4 linked regions of the Drosophila melanogaster genome follow. The protein of the gene in region 3 interacts with the protein of the main gene of each other region in a pairwise test. Each region holds a gene or a part of one and is shown on either strand. Other genes may lie near its edges.

The links.
Region 1: the proteins of Baldspot (region 3) and CG15212 interact in a two-hybrid assay, tested with the Drosophila melanogaster proteins (one large-scale study listed by BioGRID).
Region 2: the proteins of Baldspot (region 3) and CG43732 interact in a two-hybrid assay, tested with the Drosophila melanogaster proteins (one large-scale study listed by BioGRID).
Region 4: the proteins of Baldspot (region 3) and TM9SF2 interact in a two-hybrid assay, tested with the Drosophila melanogaster proteins (one large-scale study listed by BioGRID).

What each region holds. Positions count from the first base shown.
Region 1 is NT_037436.4:5,127,849-5,133,688, reverse strand, and holds CG15212 (uncharacterized protein), read right to left. Parts: upstream 2,145-5,840; 5' UTR 2,086-2,144; coding exon 2,068-2,085; intron 1,930-2,067; coding exon 1,756-1,929; 3' UTR 1,562-1,755; downstream 1-1,561. Other genes in the region: CG15213 (uncharacterized protein), read left to right, coding at 544-561, 621-791; CG4597 (uncharacterized protein), read right to left, coding at 3,449-4,066, 4,123-4,182.
Region 2 is NT_033777.3:18,947,122-18,954,495, reverse strand, and holds the start of CG43732 (uncharacterized protein), read right to left. Parts: upstream 4,301-7,374; 5' UTR 3,893-4,300; intron 1-3,892. Other genes in the region: CG42613 (uncharacterized protein), read right to left, coding at 6,489-7,197.
Region 3 is NT_037436.4:16,656,783-16,664,544, reverse strand, and holds the start of Baldspot (baldspot), read left to right. Parts: upstream 1-2,929; 5' UTR 2,930-3,074; exon of another isoform or gene 3,075-3,134; intron 3,135-5,078; 5' UTR 5,079-5,133; coding exon 5,134-5,315; intron 5,316-7,762. Other genes in the region: Galphaf (G protein alpha subunit f), read left to right, coding at 806-903, 997-1,696. UniProt on the Drosophila melanogaster protein: Catalyzes the first and rate-limiting reaction of the four reactions that constitute the long-chain fatty acids elongation cycle. This process allows the addition of 2 carbons to the chain of long- and very long-chain fatty acids (VLCFAs) per cycle.
Region 4 is NT_033779.5:20,728,821-20,737,889, reverse strand, and holds TM9SF2 (transmembrane 9 superfamily protein member 2), read left to right. Parts: upstream 1-3,580; 5' UTR 3,581-3,826; coding exon 3,827-3,964; intron 3,965-4,873; coding exon 4,874-5,068; intron 5,069-5,129; coding exon 5,130-6,112; intron 6,113-6,166; coding exon 6,167-6,326; intron 6,327-6,386; coding exon 6,387-6,890; 3' UTR 6,891-7,474; downstream 7,475-9,069. Other genes in the region: Fs(2)Ket (female sterile (2) ketel), read right to left, coding at 1-375, 444-1,472, 1,546-1,787, 2,460-2,517; CarT (carcinine transporter), read left to right, coding at 7,638-7,730, 7,789-8,013, 8,225-8,407, 8,556-8,814, 8,870-9,069.

The sequences.
Region 1 (5,840 bases), about 12 Mb from region 3:
GGTGTGAACGAAAAGCTAATGGCTGATCTGAACGTTAAGGCCAATGTCAAGTTGCTAATTAATATTTAGCAGAGATTCCGCTCGCAGCTAATGGCCAAGTCAAATAGAACCCAGAACCAAGGAAACACCGATTAGCAAAAAGAAGTGAAGCCGGAGAAACCGCAAGTCAACAAATTGCCCAAACATAAGGCGTCGCAAGTTCAACAATGGCACCACAATAAGGTAATCTACTTGGCTACGAAAAAGGGAACCTGGCTTTTGTTATCACATTGCGTGTTGGACTAAAATCACTTTTAATAGTCCAAACAGATTGATATACCACCCCGCCCGCCGACATGTGAATCACTGAATCTTTGGCTGATGCTTCGCGTTGTTTTAGTTTCTATGAAAGACGAGCGGTCTGCCGGCCGAGCAACTCACTCTCAACTGAACAGGCATATAAATAGACGGGTCGGCGGGGTCTGGTGATCAGTGCAAGCAGGTCTGTCAACGCGCAGTGCGAATCCATCGATCGATTACTACATACATCTAGCCACATACAACATGAAGTTCTTGCTCCTGGTGCGTCACTAAAAATCGACACGGAATACCAAGGAACTTTACTGACCCTTCCTTTACAGAGCGTCTTCCTTTGCCTTGCCGTGTGCTTCATGGCCACCAGTGCTGCTCCTCGCGAGGAGGCCATTCCCGATGGCTTCGAAGGTCCTGGCAGTGAGTCCGTCAACCCATCCGACGACCAATCCTTCCTGCTCAAGCTGAAGCTGCTCAAGAAGCTGCTGTTCCTGGGCTAGACACCACACCCTCACATTTATGGATTTATAGTTTAACTTAACATGTGTTTAGGTTTTTAAGAAGAAAAACAAGAGTGAAATTAAAGAAAGTATTTGGTAACGAAACCTTTACTTATTCATTTTTTATTGCAAGGTTAAAACAAAATGGTGCCCAAAAAAAAAACAAGTTCGCTTCTTAAGTCTTTTGTTTGAAGAGGTCCAACCTTCAATTCCAAATAATTTTCTTTTTTTACGATCACATTAAAATCATTCCTAATACTACTAATACACCTGAATGTTAAAATTTATGGTAAGTTGAAAGGCTGGAACCATGTGCTTCAACTTGATGGCAATCATGTCCGATTTTTCGTGACCAGCTCTCAATATGTCAATATGTGATGAGTTATCGTTACTTTTTACATAATTTTGATACTTGAAAATATTTAATATATTATATTTAGTTAAGCTATAATATTACTGGCATATCAAGTTAACTAATCATGCCAATTAATGAAAGTAGGTATGATCATTAATCTCACAGTGGGCTCCTTGTATTAGCACATCATTGAACCCACTTGATTCATTTACGACTGAGATTGGCCAATATTTATACGCATGTAAGGAAGATTCCGTTCGCTTTTCACACTCTCTACCCAGAAACGATCCGAAACGGGTTTCTTATTCAGATCTAGGCAAACAAAAACCCGACCCGCTGCCAGTCATTAGCTCCTTTTTGGACACACATGGAGATCTCATCCCCGACGCTTCGATGATATAAGAAAAGCCGACGTGTATGAAAATAACATTTATTTTAGTTACGATTACGTATACTTTACTCGTATGTATGTGCTTTTGTGTGTGTTTGTGTGTTTGTGCTTATTGGGTATTGTCTAAACAAAACGGTTTGAAAATCGAATGTAGTGGGGGAGGCAAGGTTCCCAATTGGCTGGACTAGAATCTGAACGAAGCTTATTGCGAATTTCTCCTAACCCAGGAGCTTCTTCAACTTGAGCAGCTTCTTCAGCTTGAAGATGGCCTGCGGATCCTGGGGACGCTGGACATCGTCGAAGGCAGGCTGGTAGATATTATCGCCGATCAGGGACTCATCCACGGGCACGGCAGAAATGAGGGCGATGGCCATAAGGCACACGAAAATGGTCTGAAAAATGTGAATTACAATAGATTTTTAGTACAAATTGAAAATTTAATATACTTCAACAAACAACTTCATATGTTGCACTTAATTGGAAATCATTTAATCCAATTATTAATCCAAATGTTATATCCAAATACTCACCAGAGCTAGGTACTTCATGATTGCTGCTGCTGGGGAGATGATTACGCTGATTAATCCAAATATCGACTGCACATGGCTCCATCTGGCATCAGGCCTTTTTATAGCCAAACTTTTGGGTGACCATCGATGATAATGTCATGTGTAAACTGCAGTTTGCAATGAAGAAGAGGACAAATGAACGATACATAAACAAAAGAGTCTCGCATAAATAAGACGGTAAGCGAAAAAGAAGTATAAACAGAAAAACCTGGCCAAAAGCAGACGATTCAAGGGGCGTGGCATGTTGAGGCAGGTGCTTTGTTTTTTTTTTTTTTCGGGCCAATTTTTTCGGCAGCGGGACCGAGCAGCAAAACCAGGCTGCCCTGTTTACTTGGTGGTGGCATCTTTTGTTTGCTTCGCTAAGCCACTGAAGAAGTTGATCGTTGATTAAATAATAATCAGACTGGGTAAATGAAGACATCGACAAATGAAGGTCACCTCAAATGCGGTCAGCGGAGTAATATTTAAACAAAACCCGGAAGAAGGCGGAAATTGTAATGCCAGGCAGTTTAATTGCTAATTCAGTGTATCTAGAGCCCCTCGATCACCCAATTCAAATGGTAAGTTAATCTGAAGTTCAAGATCCAATGATCGAATGATCAGTGGTCAAGCCAATTAAAATATAAATTATCACTTGAGCAGAGGATCCATAAATATTTGACACTTTGAACAGCTGTCAGGCCTGTAGAGTGGAATACTAAATCAATAAAAGTTAAGCTAAACGACGGAACCATTTTGGGCTGGGCGATGGTATAAAAACCAACATATGATTGGTACGGAGGCCAAGTGTTTTTTTTGCCCAGTCATCGTGCAAGTATTGATGATGCTGACGACGATCTTGCAGCTGAAAACCGGAAACATTCGCCCTGCTCTAAATATGTAAATAACGAACTTTCGAGAATGCCGCCACAATGTCAACGCAGCTCAAAAAAACATTCCACAGTTTGTACTCCACAAAAACAAATACGTGTCGAATGGATATCACAAACAAAGTTTACCATGACAACAAATTAAAAGATTGGATTGAATGGATATCTTTGAGTTAGTCTTTGTCGTCGGCTTGTCTCGCGCGGTTTAAATTCATGTTTGATATATTTCCCATGCCCCTGGGTTTTTTAATTAACATTTATGGGCGTGGCTGTAACATGTGCGATATGTCTCAATCCCGGCGAATTTTTAGTGGGAGATAATAAATTTTATTACGCACCCGAAACTCGGTGATAGATGGTACTATTTTGCAGAAAATGTGTAAAAATTGTTTTTTTGGGTGAAAAAATTTAGCAAAAAAGGGAGAGGCTCCATGTATAATATATTTGAAAAAATTTAAGTTACAAAAATTACATTATTCGTAATCGTTTGATACTTCCGAACTATCCTCTTTCGACTGAGTAACCTCTGTACTTGCTTCTTCGGTTTTCTCTACTGGCTTCTCAGTCGCTTTATTTTCCTCGCTATTTTTAAACAGCGATGGTTCCGTGTATCCAGGTGGTGTCTTAATGGAAAACTTGATTCTGCATGAAATCAGCTTCATAACTTCCTCGTAGACTTGTATCAGCTCAAAAAGTACCATGTATCTGCCATCGGGAATGCGGAAAGGAACCAGTTTGGAATCAATAACGCCATTCTCAACAAAATAGAAGCCTGGAACCAAAGGACATGAGACAACAAAAGTCGAGGGCAAAAGGCTTTCGCCCGGAATTTCCTCCACTGTAATATTGCGAAGTGAATCGAGGAGCTTGCAGAGATCCTTGTTCGTCATGCGAATCAGATCGAAGTAGTTCGAACCACCAACTTGATCTGACAGCTTCCTTACGAAAATGTGGATGAGAAGCTTGCCAGGAAAGGGCACTTGAACTGTGAGATTCACATTGATTTTCTCATAGTCGACAATGTCATACTCCGCGAACATATCATCTGGTACAAAAGATTTGACATAAAAGTGCTCAAGCCGCAGTCTGATCTGCTTAAGAAGTAGTACTTTATGTATTAAAATTATGGTTTATTTAAATAACTCACACTGTGCACTTGAAGAGCTCCTAAACATGAAAATAAAGCTAAACTTTGCAGAGGCCACATTGTTTAATGCTCGGATGATTGGATTCATTCAAAATAACTGACCGAAAATTGCCGACATTTGGTAACTGGGAAATTAGCTTGTTTAGTCAGGCCACGTTAACTGGACTAATGACATTGTTTCAGCCCGATTCTTATCTATCAAAGCCCCAGCTCTATGAGCAAACGGTGCGAATGCGTAATGTGGTAGGTACACCCACATGTTAACACGGCGTATGCGCAATGAACAAACTTACAGCGTTAAATATTTTCAAATCAACTTTGTGATGAGTGTTTACCAACTAGTTGCTGATATACGAGTCTAACTTGGCGAACTTAACGTCGCATCTATCAAGACGATAACCATAAAACCTGATCCCAGTTGCGAATTCGGTGGCCAACTGATGAACTTGAACCAAAAAGCATGAACGGGTAACTACTGGGAAAAACAGCAAAAGTTTACCATGTAAACGGGCATAAATTGTGCCGCCGGAAAGCAAGGCGAACAAAAGTCTCGGATAAATCATACCAAACAAAATGTATGTATGCCAGTGGACCATAAATTTCGAGCATTTTTATTGCAATTTGCTTGTTTGTACCAAAAACAAGTGCAAACAGTGCCAACAACAACACAACAACAACAACAACAACAACGTAAAGCCGAAAGGCTGCCTTAAGCCGCAAACTACAGTGAAAGTGACGTAATGCGATGCTACCAACAACAATAGCTGGCTAAAAAAAAAAAATATGTATAAAAACCATTAAACAACGACAACAAAGTACAGAGAAAAGCAACTGAGCAAACGGTCAGCAAAAAAAAAATGTCAATGTCTTTTACAACGAAGAAGCAGCAGTAGCAACAACAACATCACCAGTTGACCAAATGGTAAGGGGGTGTGAAGGGGATGGTCTTGGGCGGCTTAAAGGGGGTGTACATAGTGGATAAAGGGGGAACAGAGATAGCAAACATGGCGCAAAAAGTGTACTTTGTTTGCATATGTCTGACCTTTTGCATCGCACTCGGCACGTGTTGCGACTATCGAAAGAGGGCAGGTGACTAAAACGAAAGGAAAATTTAAGTGCTCACAGGTGGGTATAACAAATGTTATTGGGTCTTACCAAAAAACGTTTAAATATTAAAAAAAATATATATATTTATTTAAATTTTAATAGAATTGCATTGAACTGTATCACGATCGCATCTCTAATGCAAAGTCGCATCGCATATAAAAAAATGCACATGCATCGGATGTCGGCTTACATTTTATTTACCTCTCTGCTTTATCGTTTTCTTCGCCATACGTATACTTTATGCGTTAAGCGTTTTTTTTTTGTTTTTATCGTCTGAAATTTACAATTCAATGTCATGCCGGCTATATTGTGGTTGCTTCGTCCATATTGCCAAATTGAGGCAAAATGAAGAAGAAGTTGCTGCTGCTGCTGCACCAGAAGATCAGCAAGATCATTTTAATGCAGAACCGGTTGGTTCGGTCACTCCTCATCGAGGTATATAGATTCCCCCCTCTGTCCAACAAACCACGCAGACAATGCAGGCCCAATGTAAAATTAAGTGTGTAACGCGACCTTGAAACTCCGACTCCAGCCCAAAAACCACAAATGCAATTGCTGGTCATCTTGGGCTCTACGACCATTCATGTATTATTTATGTATGCATGTGGGAC
Region 2 (7,374 bases), on a different chromosome or scaffold from region 3:
GTGTGTGTCAGTGGAAGTGTGTGGGTATAGCCTCGACACAGTAGCTGATGGGTGGTGGTGGCCTTCTTTTGGCCCGCTTCCTGACCCAGCTTGTTGCATGTTTCACGTTGGCTTTTATGGGGGAGATTTTTAAAGCTTACACAAAGATGCTTCACTCTCGTTTGTCTGCCATTTTATGCATTCACGTATCACAAAAGAGATATTTTAATATGCCAAGGAACGCGCGACAAAGATTAATGAAATTCTCGCCTTAAGCCACATCTTTCTGGCTAAGTGAATTCATTTTCTTCGGATGCGGAAACAATGGGAATTTGTAAGCAGAACAACGCTGGCATATTACGCGTTTACCAAACAGAAGTTTAGATTCCGGGAAATATTGAAAATTCAAATTGGCTAATCAGCCATAAGGCCCAAGGCCTTCGCTATATGCCAATTCCATTTGGAATTTGGAAATAAGGTATTTGGCGAAAAACAGTGGCTGACTGGGGCTATTTGAATTGGCTTCCTGTCGGCGCTTATTTCATTGTGGCAGCCTCTGTTTATTTATAATTCGATTGGAAATGTGTTTGGTCAAAGAAGTTCATTTCGATTGGCGCCACCTCATCGCATTTTACGACCATTCGCGGTTTGTTTATCTTTCTGTGTTTAGGCTTAATTACCGTGGCATTTCATTCATATTTAATGTGTCGGAAAGTTCTGCCCACCCGCACAGAAACTCAATCGAAATCGGCCTTTGAGTGCTCGCTCGGTTAATGATTTTTATTGAAATCGGCATAGTTTTCACTCGACTGCCCAACGGTCCATAAATTCATAATGCTAAGGACGAAACTTTAGCTGGCTATTTGCTCCGTTCAGATTGATTAGAAGATTGATAGACTGGCTGTAGCTAAGTGAGAATGACTTGAACTTTGGGAACTACTCGTAATTGATTGGCTCAGCCAGTTTGTATTAGCTTTTTCACGCAGGAGATGCCAGCTAAAAGGTTGCGAGTGTGGTTTTGATCGCATGCCAAATAATTTATGTCTTTTGTTTTTTCGCCAGTTAACAAGGTCTTAAAGCTGGTAAGCCTTGTGCAAATTTCATTCCAGAGGTGGCACATCAAAAGACGATCCCTTCTTTAATCAGCAAACTCATTAGCATCGTCCGCTAACTAAATACAAATTAAAGAAACAGCATCCACAGCTGGCAAAGCCGCTTGCCTTTCCCCTTTTTCCACGCTTTTCCGCCTGCTCCTGCTGGTTGCTAAAAAGTTTTCACTTCGCAGCCGTCAAGTTGATGTAATGAAAAAGTTGCAGCATATTTTTAACAATATTTTCCCAGCTCATATCACATGACGTGGACACGCTGGCTACTTTCTACTGGCAAAAGCCAATGCTGCTGCGGAAAGCCTTCAAAACAACAAGAACTCGGCGTACAGGGCGCTAATTAGTTTCGAGTCGGCGTTTTCAATGGGAATATGGTTTGAAAAAACATCGCTCATACGCAACGTTGGCCCGCAGCCGCAGGTTATTATTATAATTTTGGTTCGGAATGGTAAAAAAAACGGAAATAAAACTTATTTCTAGCACACAAACTGAAATAAATAAACACTTTCGCTGCGAAAGTGGAGACCACACCCTCCACTCAAAGCCGTTTTGCACGTAGCTTTTCTCGTGAGCAGCCGTCGGGAAAATCGCTTGCAAAAGTGAAAATTGAACAAGGAACCAAAGGCGCAAAGGAAAACCATATGAGCAACGGGTTAGCACTGTGAAAGCGAATCCAGTGCAGCTCATTATAAAATAGCCAACGTAAAAAACCCTATTTCCGTTTTTTTTTTTTTGGGGGGGGGCGGGTCAAAGGTGCTCGCTCCGGACCCGAAAATTCACTTTGAGATTCCAAACAGAAATTTTAACGATGCATATAAAAACCCGGCGACGGCAAATGAATAAATAATTTATGCGTAAAGGTTCCTAAACATTCGAGTGGCTGGGTAACATTATTTGCAAAGTTACTCGTCTCTTCTTTCTTCGCATTTTCCACACGTAGCAAATTGTATCTCTCTATTACCTGGTGGAAGTAGCCTGATTTAGTGGCAGTGCCGCCCACCTTAGCCGAAGAAAAAGAAAAAAGGGTTGAGTTTAAAACCCAGCCAACCCCGCAAGTCGACTTTTCACGGGAGTCCCTTTGGGTTATGTTTGCTTATCACCTGGTTGGCTATCCAAACAAGGTGGAAAACGATTGCGGCCCTCTGTTTGCACATTTGGCACGTTTCAATTTCGCAGCGATTGCCGAACTGCATGCAAATTGCAACTGAATCCCACTTTTTTTTTGTACGTTTACTACTTTGCATATGGCAAAGAAACTGGGAAAGCACTTTCATCTGATGATCGACTGTATGGATAGACATCGGAGTGAGAAATAGTCAATTACGAAAATGATTTTCGTGAGTAATTATTAAATAAGCTGCAATTTCAGGTAGGCAGGCTGACTATAAACCATCGCTTATAGTGAAACGTGAGCGGAATTTAAAAAGGAAAGTAATTTACAAAATGTTTACAAATATATTGAGTATTGGTTAGAATAATTGGTTGCCGTTATTAGCATGTTTATAATAAGCGTGAACGAAAATAACGATTTTTAAACAAAATCGTTTCGTTGAAAATCAAAGTATAAATCTCTTGAAAAATATTGCATTCAATTCAATTAATCTTTTGCTGAAAGTGTAAACGGAAAAACACGTCTTCTGCTAGTAAAACTACAATTTTATTTCGCAGATCATTTCCCTTTTTTTTCGGATCAAACAAGAGTATATTCAGATCTAAAAAATGAATTGGAAGATGAGCAATGCGTTTACTCCTGCCTCAAATCGAAGCTGTCACTTGTCAGTGGCACGCGTTGCAGGAACGGAAATCGGAAAGTTCGCCCGGACTTTGGCTGTGACTCCAATTAAGCAGCTGGCGAACAGGTGAAACAGGTGAGACCCAGCAGAAGTTGTCATAACTGCCGTGGACACATTTCCATCGCCATCACCATCGTCCCTTTTTCTTCTGTCTTTTCCGCATTTATCCAGACTTATTGCTGCATTGCAAACAATACGAGGGCCATGTTGTAAATCCCCCAACAATTGTCTGCCTCCAGTTCGTTTTGTAACCTTTCGTTGCCCAGATTGCCCTCTCCTGTTTAAGGACGTTCCAAGAAAAAGCAGCCAGGGTTACCGATTAGGAATGTATGGCCATTGTGCATGTGAACTAATAACGCATTTGTATGTTTGCTTTTGAAAATGGCGAGTTAGCTTGAACGTGAACTCATCCGAAGGAACATTCGCTCAATGCAAATAAAACCCAATTTTGCTGAAATGAGCATTTTTTTTTTTTTTTTTGGTGAATCGTATGGGCATGTGGACCGATTCCAAGAATCAATTTACATGGCCATTCTCGTTTGGTCAAAGGAATAGGTGTCATAGGTTGATATTAAATGGAAATGCAGCATTGTAAGTGTGGCAATAAATAATTCAATACACAGCACGGAGTGACTTTCATTTTAGTTGTTATACAAGTGAATTCCATTTAATAATTTCATTCGTGATAAATGATTAAGGTATTCTTATTTGGAATTGTTTGCCAAAAAACATTTGCATTTAAAATTGTATACGCGCACAAAAGAGGCATAACTTAAATATTGCAGTGGTTTTGCTGACTTTCAAACATCATTGTTTAATTTTAAGCGAGTATGATGTTTAAATGTCTTTAATCCTACCAAGTGATTCTGCAAAATACCTCCCAGCCTTTTGCCCCGATTGATCACCATAAATAGCCCACTCCACAATCTTATAAATGCCGAATATCTCAATTGTGCACCATAGCCAAGGCAATTTCAAAAGAATATGTAATTCGGTTTCCATTTGAATATTTACGTCTCGCTGCCGAGGGCTTTCTCAATTGATTTGTAATTCACTTTTGTGTCGAACAATTCCGCGTTGAGCTCTCCGTTTGCCAGGCCAGGGTTTTTCTTATCGCCGGGATTGGTTTGGCCGGATTTTGGATTTTGGATTTTGACACCGAAACGGAATGCTTAAGCAAACATTAAAATGCAAACGCACAGGACGAAGCGATAAGGCGGAAAGAACAAGAGACCTTAATCGGTGGTCAAAAGCGGGAAAAGTGCGCGCGTTGCTGGGAAAACTGATTCGAGGCTCCTGTCACACGATGCGATTAATGACGCGTTCAAAAGCTGGTGGCAAGCGGAATCCGGAGCTGAATTGAGCTGGCTGAAAAGCGCGTTGCGAGTGTGTGTGCCGCACGGCCGACTGAAATCGACTGACTACGCTCGGCTGCTGCCACGGCATTTAAGGCAGAGAGTGAAGTCGGAAAATGCGAGGAAAATTCGGAGGAAAAGCGAGAGAGCACGCCGCGATGACATCAAGTGAAAGCTCTGCCATTTGAATCGAGAGACGGCTGTTAGTCCAACGCCAATATAGTACGGCAGCGAAATAAATCAAATTGAATCTATGATTTCGTTTTTGTGCACTTCTTTTTTCTACTTCAGGACCCCAGGACTCCTTGGCGCAGCCTCCTCCTCCTCCGCCTCCTTCTCGAGTGGATCCTTCAAGTTGTTTGCCACCGGATTTCATTTGGCTGCGGCTCAATGAGCCGTCGATTCTGTTTGTTCGAGTGGCCGACGAGCGCTTTAATCGCCCATCCAAAGCCAAAACCAAAGCCGCCACTCGAGACAGCTGGCAGGTGGCAGATTTCAGGTGAAACCCGAAGGTTTCCAGGTGCCAGGCCATCAGGTGGTGCCAAAGCTGACAGGTGAGAATCTTGTTTAACTTCGGCTTCTGCTCATTATGCTCCTCCCGTTTTGGTCCGACTTGGCCGTTTGTGCGGATAATTGCCGCCTTCAATTTAAATTGCCAACGAGCTTGGCGCACCTAATTTTCGATTTCATTTAATTTGGCGCAAATCTCATTAGGGCAAAAACGTCGCCCAAGATAAATGGCAGTGTGTTCTTTTGTTTTTTTTTCTTGCTCTTCGTCCGAGGCATCGAATCGCAGATACTTTGACCTGTGCCTGGGGCACTGGCGTCTTTGACTTTCCCTGCTCCGTCCGGCATGCCAAGTCAGCGATTTATTTGGGCCAAACAATGGCGGGATAACCCAGCAAACATTCACTGGCCAACTGATAAGCGCCAATCTCTTGGCAAATGATAACACCGTTGGCCTGGCAGCGCAGGCGCGAGCTTTTCCACAAGAGAGAGATAACGATGGAGAGAGTGGAAAAGCCAGAGAGCTCTGCCAACTGATAAGAAAGCAGCAGACTTATGCTGCCTCTGCATCTGCGGCTTCAATTGTCTTTAATCGCTGCTCAAATGTCGATGATGTCCTGGGAAGTGTTCTGTGGGATGGGTTGGAAAATTGGAGAGCGGTTACCCCGGGGAGGAACTTTAACGAATTGTCATTGATTTCTTTTGAAATGGCACCGCTTTTGTTTGCCTTCGCTTCTGCCACATTAGGCAGCTGAGCAGGGGGGGGATTCTGCTCCTCTAACTCTGATTACTGCAGCTCTGCCTATCGGGGGCAATGATCACAGATTGAATTTGCTCCGGCGGCAGCCGGTCTTAAATAATTATGAGCGCGTTTAATTAATAAGTTTGCCAAGGCAGCAACAAAGACCTCGAAAAGGGTTCTTCCAGAAATATGCTGTTATTGTTTTTGCGGCCGGGAAGCAATTAAGACCGCCTAGCGCATTGTCTTCTCGGCCTCAGCCCCGTTTGACCCCAACTTTGTTATAAATTTGCCTTTGTGCGTGCTCTGAAAAATGACCAGCCCCTCAAATGTAGAAAAAAATAAATATATATATATAAAAACTGTCACACAAAGAGTTTGAAAAACCGAAAATGAAAAAGAGATAACTCAGATCCGAAAGGGGCAGGGACTGGGGTGCCGGAGCGGATTGCTTCCTTCCTGCCGGGGGACGCTCACTTTTGCCGGTCATTAAATTTTTTTCCATTGCCTTTGGCAGTCGATACATATTTGGCTGCGTACATAAATAATGAGCTCAGTTGTTGTTTGGCCAGATTTGCAAATGTTCTTCGACAGTTTCAATTATTTATTTACCAGCCCAGCCGACGACTACAGTGAGCACTCAGTGGGGTCTTTAAAACTGGCAGGCTAAAAGCCAGCTAGTGGACACTCGAGACTTGCCAATTAGGACGTAGGAAAATTGTTTTACATGAGTTGGTTGAGAGTTACACATTTTTTAGCAGGACTATGGAGGGCAGCAGCAACTTTCACAGAAGTTTAAAGGGAAAAGTGCCATGCTAAACCATTAAAGTTTGATGTGGCTACATTTAGATACTATAAGTCCGGATTCAAATAAATTCATAAAATTCATGAAGACGAAAAACTTCTTCAGCTGTTAATAGTAAACCCATATTTTTAACAATTAAACATGAGGTACATCATGTACTTGTTAAATACTTTGCAACGAATCTAGTAAATAAAAAGTACTCACCTGCATAGAATAAAGGCAGCAGATTGAAGATGATAACCAGCGGAAATATAGAGCGTGCAAACTTTTGCATATCCGTAAGGATGCCGACTGCCGGAGTCGTTGAAGCCGCAGCAGCGTAGTCCTTTGTGGCTTCGCCGTGTTGATAGAGCTTTCGTTGTTGTTTCGTAGAGTCCTGACTGACTTTGGAAGATAGGCGTGATAGGCAAGTGCTCGTGGCGAGGCGATCCTGCTCCGAAATCCCTGTAGAAGCGACCAAAGGGGCAGCAGTATCAGCCAGGTCCTGCTGTTGCTGCACGACAGGAAGAACAGCAACATTGCGGCCTGCAGCAATGTCGTCCAAAGGATTGCGCATCCTGTGCTGGGTGTCTCTATCGCTGTCAGAGTTCTCATCTGTGGTCCAGGACTGCGGACATTCGCTGGCTGGTACATCATCTGTTGCTGCTGCAGTTGCAGTTGTTCCTGTTGCTGATGTTGCTGCTGCCGCAAGTGTTGACTGGCATAATGTTGCTGCTGCTGTTGTTGTTGCTGTTGCTGCCTCTGATTCGCTTTGTGTTTGTGTGTGGCACAGAAACGTATCGTTTTGAAATTGCTTCCGACTGATGCAGTTGCAGTTATTCGTGTGCTGCTGTTGTTGTAAAGGTTGTCGTGTTGTTGTTGAAGAAATTGTTGTTGGTGTGTTATAGAAATGTCGTATCTGTGCTGAGGCCATGTTGTGCCCTGAAATGAGATATAAAACGGCAACAAAGCCATTAAATCGATGTTGAAAACCAATAAGCATAGTGTGCACATTAAATTGACAATTCGAACTGTCCGCCATTAAGTTTTGATAAGCCCATTGCTTTGATTATCGACCCCAACAACGCTGTTGCAAGGATTTCAAGCCGAA
Region 3 (7,762 bases):
TTATCAGTAGCGGCGATTTGATTGATAGCGTGTCCATTGGGCGGCGTGGAATGTCTAAAAACTTTCCAAAACAAGTGTTTTGTAAATCGGACTTCCTGGCCCGGGCCTTATTGTATTATTTTGCTCTTTCCTTTTTTTTATTTCAAGTTTGCCGCAGCTGCAACGCTGCCTCTGAATGTGATTCATGTGGCGCAATCTGCTTTATCTTTCCGAAATTTATCTATGTACCTCTAACCAGTGGTCATTATATGGCTTACGATTAGATTACCAAGGCTGTTCAGGTCTCCAAGTGGGCGGGGCCTTTCCCAGATCTAGATGCCAGTCATTCATGGTTTTATGTTTTGCCAGTGAGTAATGCCAAGCATAAACAAAAGAAGTACCGAAGTTCGGATTCCCCTTGCTTTATGACTGACTGTTTGAATAGGTGACTCGAATACGTTCAGAGTTTTAAGTTAACTGAGGAAATAAATAATCATATCAGACCAAAATAGAGTATGTTTTTTGGAGGTTCTTATATTTTATTTTTAAGTTTAAAGTTGACTTTGTGCTGTTACTTTGATGTTGATGTTGATCATTCGTATGACAGTTGCAAAGTGACACAATCTTGGCGTTTATGATCCTTATCATATATTCAGCAAATAGAATTTTTTTAGACGGTTAGCTAGACAATTTTACTACCGGATTAGCTTTTCGTACTTGTCTGTCCAAGCGGCTTTTGCAATCTTCCGGTGAAGAGTTGATGTTATTTTCCATCACTGACTTGAAAACAATACTTAATTTTGGGTTACTTTTTTTGTATTTTTAGGAGTACTGCGACCACGTCACTACTTTGTGGAACGATGTGGGTATTCGCGCCTGCTATGATCGCTCAAATGAGTTTCCCCTGCTGGATAGTGCGAAATAGTAAGTATCTAATTGGATTGATTCAAAATCAGATTTCTTTCCCATTTATTCAAAAAAAAACCTTACTAAAGTTTGAATTTTTTTTTACCCCAGCTTCCTGGACAACTTTGTGCGGATCAGCGATGCTGAATACATACCCAGCACCGAGGACATTCTGCACAGCCGTAAGATCACCACCGGCATCTCGCAAATCACCTTCCGCGTACCCATTCCCAAGAGCATGGGTGGTGGCGAACAGCAGTTCCAAATGTACGATGTGGGTGGCCAAAGGGATCAGCGGAATAAGTGGATTCAGGTATTCGAAGGCATACAGGCCGTATTGTTCCTGATCTCGTGCAGCGAGTTCGATCAGAATCTGCGCGAGGATCCCAGCCAGAATCGTTTGCAGGAGGCTCTGAAGTTGTTCAGAGCCGTGTGGCAGAATCGTTTCCTCGCCTCCGCCGGATTGATCGTGTTCCTCAACAAGTACGACATCATGGAGCGAAAGATTCGGGCCGGCAAGCACATTGTGGACTACTTTCCCGAATACGAGGACTTCTGCAAGAGGCCGCAGCAGGACAATTGCTTTGGCGAGAGTGACTGGACGAAGATGTTCATCAAACAGAAGCTGGTGGATATCACACAGGAGCCGTTCAAGCGACACTCACGGAATCAGGTGGATCTGGGTACCTCGGAAAGGGAGTGCTACTACCACTTCACCGTCGCCACGGATACGCGATGCATCCGTGATGTCTTCTGCGATGTCCAGAAGATGATCCTCTCGGAGAACGTGTCCAGCATGGGCCTATTCTAGTCCAGATCCCGTTGCGGATCGGAGAGCTTCTCAATAAAGTTAAGGGAGGGCTGTCCTCAGGCCCCCACCAACTGTGATCTAGTAGGATATGACTTACATAAGTAGCCATGTAAGACCGTAGATCGTAGTGGCAACCGTATGTTGCACAATGGCTGGTACAACGCTTTAATATATTTAACTGCATTGGGTGTAGAGGAAGAATCCTCATACCGAATGCTCTCACTACTCCTTCAACCAATGTCTAAACTCTAATAGAATATAGCATCTACAATAAACCAAAACACACCCAGACAATTTGAGAATGAGTTTTAAATATTTTTGCACCCAAAGTTTGGGTATTTGGGTCCCATGCAACACAAAGTGTAGCATACTTCAAAGGGCACACACGCTTTGAGCGATCTGATGTTGCCATAGGAAAGGAAAAGAAACCATAGTTGTTTTACTTTTGATCAAAATAGTTTCCCATTCGGAATACACCATTCTACTCTTTATACAAGAATATATAAGCTTCGTATTAAAACATTTTAAAATATAAAAAACATATTGAAAGGCAAAAAGTCATAGTGATCTTTTACAAAATATGCGCTTCTTATTCAAATTAAAAAAAAAGCTTATTCCACTTAAATGCCGTTTATCGATCAGAGCGTTATATTTTGTACGGTCGGTCTTAAATTTAAATGATGGAATCCACATAGTTCTTTACCATCGCTTAACTAATAGCCAAGTTACACACCAATGAGCTGTGGTCCTTACCTAATACCCATTACTCGTAAAGTGATATGGTATTTAAGTTTTGTGTCTACGTATGCAACACGAACAAAGAATCGTTACTTTCAACCAAATCAAAAAGTTAAATAAAGATCGATCATCGTTTTAACTTTTACCAGCTTACGTTCTCCCCAAACATTTTAACGATTCATGTCGGTATAACCATAAAACAAAAATATTCCTGTATAACTCGCGATACTGTTTAATAATTTGGGCATACAAATGCATCTTGCTACGCTTAACCAAAGACACTAGTGGCTTAACTGTTCCTTGCAACATAAGTAAGTTTGACTAGTACCCAATAGGAGTGGAACCAGTGTGCATAGAGCTCCACCCGCACGCAGCTAGATGTGACCGCACGCGAGCCGCAGAAAAATACCGCGATGGCAAAAGTACCAGCGCCATGATTGGTACTAAAATATCTCCTATATATAAGTATAGCGATAAAGCAGCCGAACCGCCAGCTAAACGTTCAGTTCGCTTTGCGCCGGCAAATTCGATAGTTTTTTGAGTTTGCTGAACCGAGTCGCTGGGGCAGAAGTGTGTGACAGCCAGCCGTGTGTGTTGTGATCCAGCCAATTGATACTGCGATAAGAGGCGGCGAGCAAATGTAATTACCTCATAGACATCAGCGTTCGAAAATAGTAACCGTGTTTTCTGTGATATCTGTGTGAGTGCGTGTTCTCGTTGATGTTTTGCGGTGGTTTGGTTTCCTCCTTATTTTGCGCCCCTTTTTTCTCATCCGATGCTGCGAGAGAGAACGAAAGAGAGGAGAGGCAAAAACATATTTCCCAGACATTTGCTGATTTAACCGAGAACTTTATCGATTCAGCAGGAACCAGAATACGAATGGAAAAAATTCGGCAAAGATCGCGTGTTTTTGCGTGAGAGCAAAGTTAGGGCGAGGAGGGGCAGTTTGTTTTTCGGAAACATAAAAACCGCTAGGAGCATCGAAAAAATTTCACTAGAAATTTTTGAAAGCGCTCGCGCAAAAAACCGGATATGTTACTCAAAAAGAAACAACAGAAAAAGCTTCCAAATCAAACCAAAGCGAAGCTTATGGCAAAACGAAATCACCTGTGTGTGCGAGAGTGAGTGAGAGTGCGTAAAAGTGTGAGCGCGTCGAGTGTGTGTATGATTAGTCGCGTGTCTGGCATGCAATTAGGCATTCAAACTAATTTCCCTCCCACCGGCAAGTTGCCCTGTCTCATTTGTATTTTGCTGGGTTTCGCTGTTTGCTTATGCATTCCTTCAAGTTCTTTTAATTCGCACGAGACTTTCGTGGGCAGAGAAAAAGAGGAAGAGAGAGCGCGCCAGACTGGCGCTCTCTGTAAACTACCACAATTACACTTTCCGTTACAGCCACCCCCTCACTCATGTGCTCCCAGAACACTGTGAGAAAAGTGATGTAATAACGGGGTAGCTTACAGGACTCAGAGTGTCCCTGGATTCAGCTATTAGTATTGTGATTTCAAGATATAAAAGTAGAATGTTAAAAAAAACCAAACTCGGAGACTCCAAATGTATTTAATTTGTAGTTTTAGTGTAGTTTTTCGGCTAGAGATTTTGGGGATCTTAAAATTCTCACATTTAAATTAAATATTTAAAATAAAACTCATGCACATTTAACTAAACTTAATTATTAATGTCAAGATTTTACCTCCGATTGACGAGCAATGTTTCTCTTTGTGTATCAAGTTGTTTGTGTATCCATTTAAGCTTCAGCACGAGGTGTGAAAAGTGTGAAAAGCGGAAGAATGTAGATGAAGATAACCACAAAGCGTGCGCCATTCATGAAAGCGTTGCACATCCCTTGCAGAGTGAGCAAGAGCGGGAAGGTGTTTGAAGGGGTGTGAGAGGGAAGAAAGATTGAGTAAGAGAGAGCCATGGACCAACGGTGTTTTTTTTGTTGCCTGGCAAAATCAATGAAATGGATGAATGAGAGGAGGAGTGGTGTGGGACGAAGGGGAAAGGAAGGTCGCCGAGAAATTTATGCGACAAAACGCGGGCTTTTTATGTGCCTGATTGTGTGTGTGTGTGTGTGAGAGAGCGCGTGTGAGTTTTGATAAGGGGGAGTGGTGCGGAATTTTTACTGAATTAAGCTTTAAACATCGTCGTGTAAAATCCCCATTACTTAGGAAACAGATAAGATACTGCAATCAGTAAAAAAAACTAAAAACATTCGACTCGAAGATAAATTGTAGTTTTAATAATTAAAGAATGTTCCCATAAGTTAAAAAATTATATTCAAAGTGTTTTCCTTTTTGTGTGCCTATTTTAAAAGTACGTAATGTATAAAAAAACAAAGTCATACAGAGCAAAATGAGAAAATTTAAACCGTCCTAGTTCATTGGGTACTTTCAGTATATTATTTTATTTATTCAAATAAAACAGCTGTATAGCTCGATGTATATTTAAATTAGTTTTTAATCAGCAGAAGCTAAAACCTATTGTTAATATTAAATTAATATTAATTTAATAAAATCGTTCTGGTGTACGAATAGCTATTTCTAATACGAATAGCTATATTCCTTAACAAAGTTGTACAAGATCTTTGACAAGATAGTTCTGAGTACATTAACTAATCTATCTCTACTTTCTTGTCAATCCACAGCTGCATATAACCCAAGTAACATAGCCACCAACTCAAACACATAAAGCCCACCAAAATGATCAACATGGACATTAGCGTTACGCCCAATTACTCGTACATCTTCGACTTCGAGAACGATTTCATACACCAGCGGACGCGCAAATGGATGCTAGAGAACTGGACATGGGTGTTCTACTACTGCGGCATCTACATGCTGGTCATCTTCGGTGGTCAGCACTTTATGCAAAATCGGCCTAGGTGAGTCTGCCACACTGAACTGAACTATGTGAACTAAAGCAGTTTTGCGATTAAAAAACATGTGTTCTTTGGTGGCTTAGATAGACAATTCAGTGAAATAACGGTTGGGTTAAGAACTTGCGCCCTTTGGCCTTGGAAAATTATTAGCTGGCGGCCGGGGAGCGGCGTTAATTACACCCACAAGTGCACACGCCCCTTGCAGTCGGTAGAAACAACTTTGCTGTTTATCGAAACCAATCCCTGGAAACCCCTATATTGACTCAGTCGCGCTTTGTTTCGGTTTATTCTCCGGAAAGACTGGAGTCCAAGTGTACATTTGTTATTAGCCCAGACAGCTGTTGAGTTCCACGTGTAATTATATTAAATTACGGCTAATCAAACACTAATGTTGTAGGTGAATCCTCAACTCGGGCTCAAATAGCCAACAATTCGCATTCGCACCTGAGCACGCACTATTCAGGTGTATTTTCCGATGGCTAAAGACCTATTTGATTGGGTATTTTAACAATTTTTCCAACAGTCAGCGCTGTTTGTCCCCTCCTTGTTACCTGATTTACCTGTGGTGGATCCAATTGGCGGCTATTCGTGCTGGCAATTGTCTCGTTTCGATTCGCTTCGTTTTTGCCTATGATACTGTGTTTGCCTTCCTGCTTCTAATTGTCGTCATCGGGCTTTGTGGCCAAATTAAGTTGGGCTCGTGACATGCCATTTAGACAGTATTTTTGCAAGATCATAATTCAGTTTTGTCACCTGGTTTGGAGCTGTTTATAGCCTTGCTAAGGCCACTGTGAAATTCGGTAGAAAGTTGCTACCGTCTAACAGAAAAGTTTATTATTGTCCAACTGGGGAAAACGGGCTATATAAGTTCCTTCTGAGTATCTTTCGAAACATACGTCTTTGTATTCTAAAAAATGTTAGCTAGATAAGTCTATTTGATGTGGCTTTCCTAACCCTGAATTCCACATCATGATTCAATTGCTTGCATAATGTAATGTGGAGTAGCGATTCCTGCCCACACTCCGACCCAAAGCCATTGGGTTTTTGGATGAGTTATATAGGGGCTTGGCCCTGGGTTGCTTGGCGATTCTCTACGCGGACACTCGTCGGGGGATCTGTCGGTTAATTTTTCACTTTATTGTTGTTGGCTTTGCCTTACACTTGGCTTTTTCGGAATGTCATTTCAATATTTGCCCACATGGAGGAGAGTCGGCTAAGCAAATGGACGTATGTACTTGGTACAGAAAGGTGTGAATTTAGTGAAAATGCAGGCGTTTCTTTCGAACTGTTGGGGTTAAAAAACTGACAAGGTAAGGATGAATTGGGCAAATTAAAACGGATTGATTTCCGCTTGCTCAGCATGGCTACTTAACTTCTTGAATACTCAAACACATGCATGAATATTCAATATTTGACGTTTTCCAAACCATGCCATGTTTAAGAATCTCTAATTAGCAACCACGGTTCTGAACAGCGTGTCAAAATTAATCGCAAACTTTGAAAGAATGCAAATGCACCTGACCGCATGCCACCGACTGTACATTTACATATTTAGAGAGTGGACTTCCCGCTTGCATTCCACCTCATCTTTCATGAATTTAATTTTTGAATTTCTGTTTTGTTTCACTCGTTTCGGACAGTGCGCCATTAAAGTCATTAAACTGATTAGGTTTATAGGTACACGCCATGTCGTACTCGTTTCATTTCAAATGCCCAACGGACAAAGTTTTCCACGGCGACCATGTGGCACGTATGTATGTACATATGTGCTTGTGTGTCATGCAAGAAGTGGGTGTGTCCACGCAGACGGGGTTGTGGGTAGTAGTCCTGGACGGAACTCCAACAGGACACTTTGACATGTAGCCGCTCTATAGGTCCACTTCAATTGGACACTGGTACACTGGACCACCTGATTGCGTTTACAATATTTACCAGCACTTTAAAGTGATTTTTGCTTTTTTTTATAGTTAAAAAGTAAACAAGAGGTCGAAGCCTTTGGAGAATTTTAATATTTCAGTTTTTAGTATCCATAACGTATTGCGTATTACAGTTGACATCTCCTTAAATGGTTAAAGATTAAATATGCCTAATAAAATTAGCTTATAAGCACTCTACAAAGAATCTATAAAATATAAGTTGCAAAGCCTTAATGGTCCATAAAGTAAGATATTCAAATGATGTAATATGCGTGAAAAACAAGTTCCTGTTGGCCAGTGTAGCTTTGGCGTGCGCAAATGTTTTGTGACCATATAAGGAGGAGGGTTCATAAGGGGGCGATATGAGATGGGGTGGGCAACGTGTGTGGGGACCCCAGTGGTTAAAATAGAAATCTGAAGCAGCGAATAATGTATGTATGTGTTTGCAGAGGAGCACGATGACCGATAATTGTAATCATTTAAATTTTAAAGCGATTGAGTCATTCAGTTGCTTTGGTTTCTCGCTATTATTCA
Region 4 (9,069 bases), on a different chromosome or scaffold from region 3:
CTGCATCACCTGGTTCAAGCGCTCCAAAATCACCAGCGTGGTGCGCTGGACCACCAAGTAGCAATCCAAGGGAGAGTTCTTGATCATATCCATAAGTGCCTGATAAGCAGCACATCGCAAATTGGCTTGAGCTCCGTCCGATCGATCAGTGGTCTCCAGCAACTGGGTAATGATGTACTCAAAGTACGGGGACAGGGCGTACGTCTCCGGAGTCTCTCCGTCGTTGGTGACCGCTGCCTCCCAAGCTGCATCGGAAAGTCCAATGAAGGCCCAACACACGTTGGCTGCTACACGCGGCTCTGACTTTAGGCTCTTCACGAAGCACTCCAAAAGCGTTTGAAGATATGTCTCGTTGATAGCCGCCTCGGGAATTATCTGTCAGGAAAAAGCAGTAGAAGGTTAGTATGACAATATGAATCACCTTAAAAATCACCACTACGCACATCGCAAATACGTCCGAAGGTCCAGGCGATGGTATCGCGCACGATAACGCTGGAGTCGTACATCAGTCGAATGAGCGTGGGCATGGCTTGCTCCACGAGCGGCTTTAAGGTATTGGTCTCCAATCCATTCAGCACGGAGCCGAAAGTCATTACCGCTGCGTCGCGGAATCGCCAATTAGGTGACTCGATGTTCTCCTTGATGAAGGGAAGCACATGTGGCACGATCTCGTCCTCGCAACATGTGGCCAGCACCATGAGGCAAACGGAGGCGGCCTTCGCCGGGCTCCAGGTGTCCTCGTCATCGCACTCGTCCTGCTTGGTTAATTTCTCGACGAGCACAGGCGTCAGGAACTGCAGAGCACCTCGAGCATAGTGCTTGGACACTCTCTGCGGAGCGCGGCCCTGATCAGTGGCCTCCTGGCTTTCGATGGCCAGATCTATCTCCTCATCGCAGACGTTCGACCAGAACTCTATGCCCTGCAGCGCTACAGCATCGTTATCAGACTTCATGGCCGCCAAAGTAATAGGGAAAAGAGCCTGTGCCATGTAGGGCTCCATGTACTGGTAATAAAGGGTCATAATCTTCACCAGGCACTGCAGAGCGGCAACGCAGATTTGCGAGTCCTGGCACTGAGTGGCCTCGCACACCACCTCCATGATGAAGTTGCGCTCCATGTCTTTCTCAAAGTTCGATTTGGTGAACTCCAACGAGTTGTGAAGGGCCGTGGTGGCCGCCAAGCGTACATGATTGCTCGGCTCTACCTTTCTCATGCCGTGAATAATAGCAGTCAGCACATCGTTCGACTGGTTCTCCATGACGCCGAAACGAATGTCCTGGCAAATGTAGCCAATGGCCTCCAGCGCCGACTCGCGATGCATCTCGCTGGATCCTTCGCTGACCACCTTGTTCACCAGTGTCTGGATGAGCATGGGCCAGCGGTTTATCGGCAGCTCAATCACGGCCACATAGGCCACGCACTGGGCGGCGCAGGAGGGTCGGGTGTTCTCGGTACCCAAAGCAGCCAGGATCTGAAAGTAAGTCGCAGTTATTCAGTGCCAATTGTACAAGTCATATGTTTCAACATCAGCGTATGTAACTTACGTTATTCTTGATCAACTCGCGGATCTCGCTGGGAAACTGATGCCAGCGATCCTGGTACTGTTGGCTGACCTTCTCGTCCTTGCTGGTCAGGTGGTTCTTCAGCTGGAGACCGGCTGCCATTCGCGCCACCGCACTGTTGGCCGTGTTCACCAGTATCTCTGACAGCGCCTTGAGAAACTCGGGCAGGTTGCTGGCCGCCGCCTGCTCCAGAAAGTTCTTCGCCGATAGCAGCTCATTTTTGTCTGAAAATGCGTCATTTGGTTGGTTAGACATTTTTAATTTCCAATTATGTCAACGAAAGATTTTATTTGTGGGCCTACACACGCCCACCATTTTGGGTCGGCTTAAAGCTTTGGTATCAGGCCATTGAATTTTACAACAATTGACTTTTGGGAATGTGAAGGCAAGATAGGAACTTTTAGGCAAGGCGTATATAGTGAGAATATTGTTTAATAAGAATACAATAGATGGTGAAAGAAGTGTGTGCATATGAAGAGCTAAGCAGTAAGGTCTAGTAATGAATTGTAGCGGTGGAGCATAAAATCTTCAGGCAAGGGGCAAGTTTGCAGGCATTCCTTATCAGCAACCGGAAGAACTGGCCGCCAAGCATACGGTGGTGACTCCGAAGCGACGCCTCATCGATTCCTAGAGTTAGTGAGGTTATGTCGCAGGCGGTTCGTACATCCTTAATTGTAGGAGCGCAAGCATTGCGAATACATACAGACGCGCCGCCAAGTTTCCCTTGGAGTATGTACGTGGATGCACATGTGTGCGGAGGCCCCTAGCAACCAAACATATGCGAGCGCCTATTGCAACCCTGCGCAACATATAACGCGCGTCCCTCCCGCCAATCGAAGAAAAATCCATATTTTTCGGATCTATACACACACGTTTGTAGCAGTGGGGAAACTCACCTGGCGACACCGTCTTTTCCAAAATGGCAATCAATTGCATGGCGATATCGGAAGTCATGTCTTCGCTCTTTTCCTCTCTATATGATTTCTACTTCACTTTCCGTTTCTTTCTGCAGCTCGTGCGTCTGTGTGGGTGATGGAATTTTTGCGTAATTACTAGACAACACTAGTCTGTCGGCTGCAAATGGTGGAGACAAAAGAGTTAAAGTTATTGGGCTGCTCCGCTGAAGCTGGCGATTTTATTTCGACAGGTTGCAACACCTTGATTGTCAAAAGAATTGATTTTTTCGCACACACGCACACAACAAGCGCGTTCAGTAGAACTCTTCATTCTACTCACATTGTTGTTTGGTTATTTTTCGGGAACGGTAAAAAAGCGCGGGATTCCTAACGGCGATTTTCTTAGTTATTATTATAAGCCTATTTAATGGTGGCAGAACCTTTATCTGCTCTTCGGGAAGTGCAGGCAATATATTTCTTGTGTCTCCGATTTGAAATAGAGCTGAAACGAATGTCGATTTTTATTTGATAGCACTGAGTTTCGATGAAAAAGGCGACACCTATTCGATTGCTTTATTCGAACTATCGATAATTTTTAAATCTAATAACGTATTAATTAAATATTCTTAAATGCGTAGGAAATGTGCAACCATTTGACAAAATATATTATTAGTCAGGAACGATAAGACCAAAATACTTACTACTTGTATTAAAACGCGTTTGCCTCCCCAAAAATCAATCGTTAAATTTGAATGATTGTGCTTATCGAAAATTTTCATATTCAAAGATAAGCACGGAAGCAAAACCTCGAACGAACTAAATAATCGAATACTTTGACTTAAGAGTCGTAGGTAAAAAACTAACAAATGAACAAAATTTGATTACTATATTAAGAAACAGTGGATAAAAATAGTAATATCTTAGAAGTATCACACGTATACGTGTGTATATTGGTTGCATTCGCTTACTGAACAGGGGAATTAATTAATTTAAATATAAAAGTTTATTAAGTCTACCAAATTTCGTTTTGCACGTAATAATAATAAGAGCTAAAGGTTTTCGCGGTAATATTTAGCTTTGCAAATGCTGGTAGTTTTTTTGTCAGCCAGTTGGCAGCCCTCTCAGCTGTACTAGGTGGCAACGCTGCTACAGTGCTGACGTTCGGCAAAAAAGAGGAAACGTAGTAAAAACACTCGAAAAACTCCGTATATTCCGATAAATATCCAGATAGTACGGTTTGTGCGTGGCCCGCCGATCCGGAAAGTGTGGCAGAGAATCGCGGACACGGCCACGTTGTGATTACAACCCGTACAAGTAAAGGAAGAAGGTCTGCTACTCCTGCCGTTCGTTGGTTACCCCAATTCGAGATGATCCTGCTATCCGGACTTCTGCCGCTCCTGGGCGTCGTTCTCTTGCACCTTGCGACCCCGACACAGGCCTTCTATCTGCCCGGACTGGCACCGGTCAATTTCTGCAAGAAAACCGACGTCTCATCCACATGCAAGGTAGGTGTATACGTATGTGCAGAAGTGCAGATGTACATATGTACGTAGATAGTGGGTGTGTTTGCCCCACGCCCGCCACAATTAGCAAAGGCACTGGAACTAGTTATGTACATTGGTTCTATATTCCTCTAATGGTGGTCACAGGCGGAAGCACTGATAAGCGCAGTAACTAGTTATATGTGGGGTCCATATGTGGCCCTCTATCTCAACTTCTGCTGACGTTGCCTACGCCAGCTCTCTTTCCTAGCGACAGCTAGATGGGAGTTCTAATGTTGGTTCAGCTGGCTCGCGAATGCGATTTCGGGGGCTCCCGACCTTAAGAATCTTAACATAGTGGCGGCTAACCAATAATTGAACCAGGGAACGCGGTTAGCTTGTCATGCTTCCTTGCATTATGTTTGGGTTATTTTCTTTTTAGTAATAATAGTATAACACAATAACAATATAAATTCAGGACAAAGTATAATTTTTAGTTTGATATCCCAAATAGATGGGGTTAGCCCTTTTAAAAGATGACCTAACTATTGGATGATAAAGCGTGAGCTATTGGTTTTGTTTGCTTCATCTTATCTTTAAACAAATCTAAACAACTTTTTAATATACCCGTAGGTCAAGAAATCCTAATCGGTTTATACGCCCTTAAATTAGACGTTGCCCAATGATAAGAATTAATTAAGGTGTTTCACATTCAATTGTTTCTAACAATCTAAGAGAGCTTTTTGATAAGATAAATTTCTAAGAACCCAAAGTAAAAGCAAATTACGGGGTCAAATTATCGAACGCATTTGCAAACTTTTGGAATTTTTACCAAACTTTAATAATTATTTCCACGATAAGATTAAAATACACTAGTATTATCAACAGTTGTCAATCCAATTGATTGATCTAATTCCTGATTATCTTCTTCAGTCGGAAATCTTGTTGTACGTCAACCGCTTAAACACTGAGGAATCCGTAATACCCTATGAGTACCATCACTTCGACTTTTGTTTGGGCGAGGAGCAGAACTCACCGGTGGAGAATCTGGGACAGGTTGTGTTCGGAGAGCGAATTCGTCCAGGACCCTATAAAATTCAGTTCTTGGAAAACCAGCAATGTGCGACCGTAAGATTAAACAGTTTTAACGCATTACCAACATAATGATTTAATGACTCTTCGTATTTAGACCTGTGTCAAGACTTACAAAGGAGACGATCCGGCTAGCAACCGTCGTATGATGGTTCTTAAGAAAGGAATCAGCTTGAACTACCAACATCATTGGATTGTGGACAACATGCCGGTTACATGGTGCTACCCACTGGAGAACGGCAAGCAATACTGCGGAATTGGTTTTCCCATGGGTTGTCTAGTTCGCAGTGATGGCGAGGGTTGTCCCATCAACTCTATATATAACCAGCCAATGCATTATTATCCATTCAACCATGTGGATCTCGAGATTACTTATCACAGTGGACAGTCGGAGGACTGGGGAATTCAGTTCGGCAACAGTGGACGCATAATCTCTGTAAAAGTGACTCCCAAATCTATTAAGCACACCGATAAGGAAAACCCCAATTGCTTGAGCACAGAGCCACTGGCAATCAGTGAGAACTCTTTAAAGGCTGGAGAACAGCTGGAAATTGTCTACACGTACAGCGTGAAGTTTGTAAAGAACGATTCTATCAAATGGTCATCACGTTGGGACTACATTTTGGAATCCATGCCGCACACGAATATCCAGTGGTTCTCCATTCTCAACTCCCTGGTTATTGTCCTTTTCCTGAGTGGCATGGTGGCAATGATAATGCTGCGTACGTTGCACAAAGATATAGCCCGCTATAATCAGATGGATAGCGGTGAGGATGCCCAGGAGGAGTTTGGCTGGAAACTGGTACATGGTGATGTGTTCAGGCCGCCGCGGAAGGGCATGCTGTTGTCGGTATTCCTGGGTTCGGGTGTACAGGTGCTTGTGATGGCCATGATCACCTTAGCATTTGCCTGCCTGGGATTCTTGTCCCCAGCCAATCGGGGAGCCCTGATGACCTGTTCCATGGTCTTGTTTGTTTCGTTGGGTACACCGGCTGGTTACGTGTCTGCGCGTATCTACAAGAGTTTCGGTGGGCTGAAATGGAAGAGTAATGTCATCCTTACCTCGATCGTTTGCCCTGGGTAAGTTCTTTGAAATTAAAGCGATATTATTATTTAATCGTTTTTCTTTTTTAGTGTGGTCTTCTCATTGTTCTTCGTCATGAACCTGGTGCTGTGGGGGGAAAATAGCTCCGGAGCTGTGCCATTTAGCACGCTAATTGCTCTGCTTGCCTTGTGGTTTGGCGTCTCTGTGCCACTAACCTTTGTAGGAGCTTACTTTGGATTCCGCAAGCGCGTGAGTATATATTTAGCTAGTTTTTAAAATGGTTCCTTACATTTGTCTGTACGATTTCAGGCATTGGAGCACCCTGTGCGTACCAACCAGATTCCCCGTCAGATTCCGGACCAATCGATCTACACACAGCCTATTCCTGGAATCGTTATGGGCGGCGTTCTACCCTTTGGCTGCATCTTCATTCAGCTGTTCTTTATCCTGAGCTCGCTGTGGTCCAGCCAGATTTACTACATGTTCGGTTTTCTGTTCCTGGTCTTTGTCATATTGGTCATCACATGCTCGGAGACCACCATTCTGCTGTGCTACTTTCACTTGTGTGCGGAGGACTATCACTGGTGGTGGCGCTCCTTCCTGACGTCCGGCTTCACAGCAGTCTATCTGTTCATATACTGCTGCCACTACTTCGTCACAAAGCTTTCGATCAAGGACAGTGCCTCGACGTTCCTGTATTTCGGCTACACGGCCATTATGGTATTCCTGTTCTTCTTGCTGACCGGCACCATCGGGTTCTTCGCGTGCTTTTGGTTCATACGTAAGATCTACAGTGTTGTCAAGGTGGATTAAACCGCATAATTCAAGAAGGAGCTCGTGCGAATGTATTTTTGTATGTGTAGCCACAAATTTACACTTAAGCCTAATGTGTGTGTGATTTCTGCGCTGTGCGCCCGGCACAGACAGTTTTCTGTTTACTATAATTACGATTGATATGTGTATAATAACATATGTTTGTATCAGGCAAGGAACAGTGGAGTAACGAAGCGCGCAATAATTTTTAAGCAGTAAACAGCGAACGAGTTGGAGTTAAAACGACTTGAAGCATCTTTTGTATAGCTCTTCGTTCTGTTAATCTTTAGGCGTAAAATTTAGCATTGTCCATTTCCCAGCTCTAGCAACGATTCCAAGAAAAGAAGAAATTATCAAGAAAAAAAAAACTAAAATCCCTTTAAATGTACTGAGCTGCATAACGAAGTACTTTAAACCCCGTTCTCTACTTGTAATATCAAAGCCTAACAACTGTAATTAGTGGCTCGTCTTAGCCGTAATTCGAGCAGGATTGAATTCACGTGTAATATTTTAAATACTTTAGTTTAAACTATTTAAATCTAACTTGCGACTAAAGAATAAACAAAAATATAAATTACGAATCGAGCCCACTGCGACAAACTTTTTACTATCAACAGAACCAGCTCATTCTTTCAACCCTAGACAACTGACAGTTGTCAGTGGTTGCTTCTATGGCTTCCGTGAGCTGAGCCAATCGGGCAGTGTGAGTAAACATTTCCAGCTCAGAGCTTGTCTAGAGGCGCATCCATGTCAGATATTGAGGACAACGATGGGGACGAATACGATGAACTTTCGGAGCTGCGACAACGCCACAAGCCCGAATCCCAGCCCTCGGTGGATGTGCATATCTGTGAGACACGGTCCTTGATCTTCTCTAGATTTGCTGTTTTCTTTCCAGGAGGCCTTCGATCTGGACGACCTTCTGCCCACCATTGGCGAATTCGGCAAATACCAGAAGCTCTTGGTTTTCGGAATTTGCCTGCCCGCCTGCATACCGTGCGGTTTTTGTGCGTTTAACCAGTTGTTTATGGCTGATACTCCGGATGACTATTGGTGTCGCATCCCGGAGCTACTCGACTTGCCCCTGGAGCAGCGAAAATCGCTGTCCATACCCAAGGAACTGGTGAGTAATTGCAGCCATACGAGTGCCGAGGCTAAGGCAATCAAGTCAGCCCATTGATTGTGCGTTGCTTAAGGTGAAGGGTCGATACGAGGGTGGTTCGATGAGTAATCGAAGGGGCTAACAATGAAATGGGGGAGAGGTAAACCTTATATTCTATGCCTTCTATTATTTAAATATATTTTGAAATAACTGATGAAATAATTATTTCAAGGATAACGACGAACTGGTCTACAGCAAATGTTATACCTACGGAGTCAACTGGACGCAGCTCCTTGAATCGGGGGAAGAGGATGACCTGACGACCATGGAGCCGAATGCCAGTTGGCCACTGATCAAGTGCCCCCAGGGATGGGAGTACAACACAAGCGTCGTCTGGTCCTCCATTGTGATTGATGTGCGCAATCCAGACCACCAAGCCTTCATTTGAAACTACAACGTCATTCATGTAGGAGTTGCTCGAATCATTTCCCAAGCATCAGTACTACCTTTACCTAGGAGCGAAGGATTGGCTTACTATAAACCATTAAATCCTCCTATTTCAGTTCGATCTAGTGTGCGATCAGGATATTTATCCTACGATTGGATTGGCTGCTCTTAATACTGGCGGTCCAGTGGGAGTCTATCTTTTCGGATTACTCAATGATCGTGGTGGACGAAGGCTCTCCTATTTCGTCTGTTTGGCCACTTTGCTGGCTGGCAGCCTAATGACTTCGCTGAGCAAGGATTTTTGGACTTGGGCCGGCAGTCGAGTCATCGTAGGACTGACCATTCCAGCTGTCTACCAGATACCATTTATAATATGTGGGTATTTCATTGTTGCTTCTAACTTTAACCATTAACTTTTCTGCGTCTGCAGCTCTGGAACTGGTGGGTGAAAACTATCGATCCTTCGTGACTGTGATGACGTGCACCTTTTACACTTCGGGCATCATGCTCCTGTCCGGCGTCACTTATCTGGAGCGGGATTGGGTGCGCCTCTCCTACATCACATCCCTGCCGTTTTACGCCTATTTCCTGTACATGTTCGTCATGCCGGAATCACCGAGATGGCTTTTG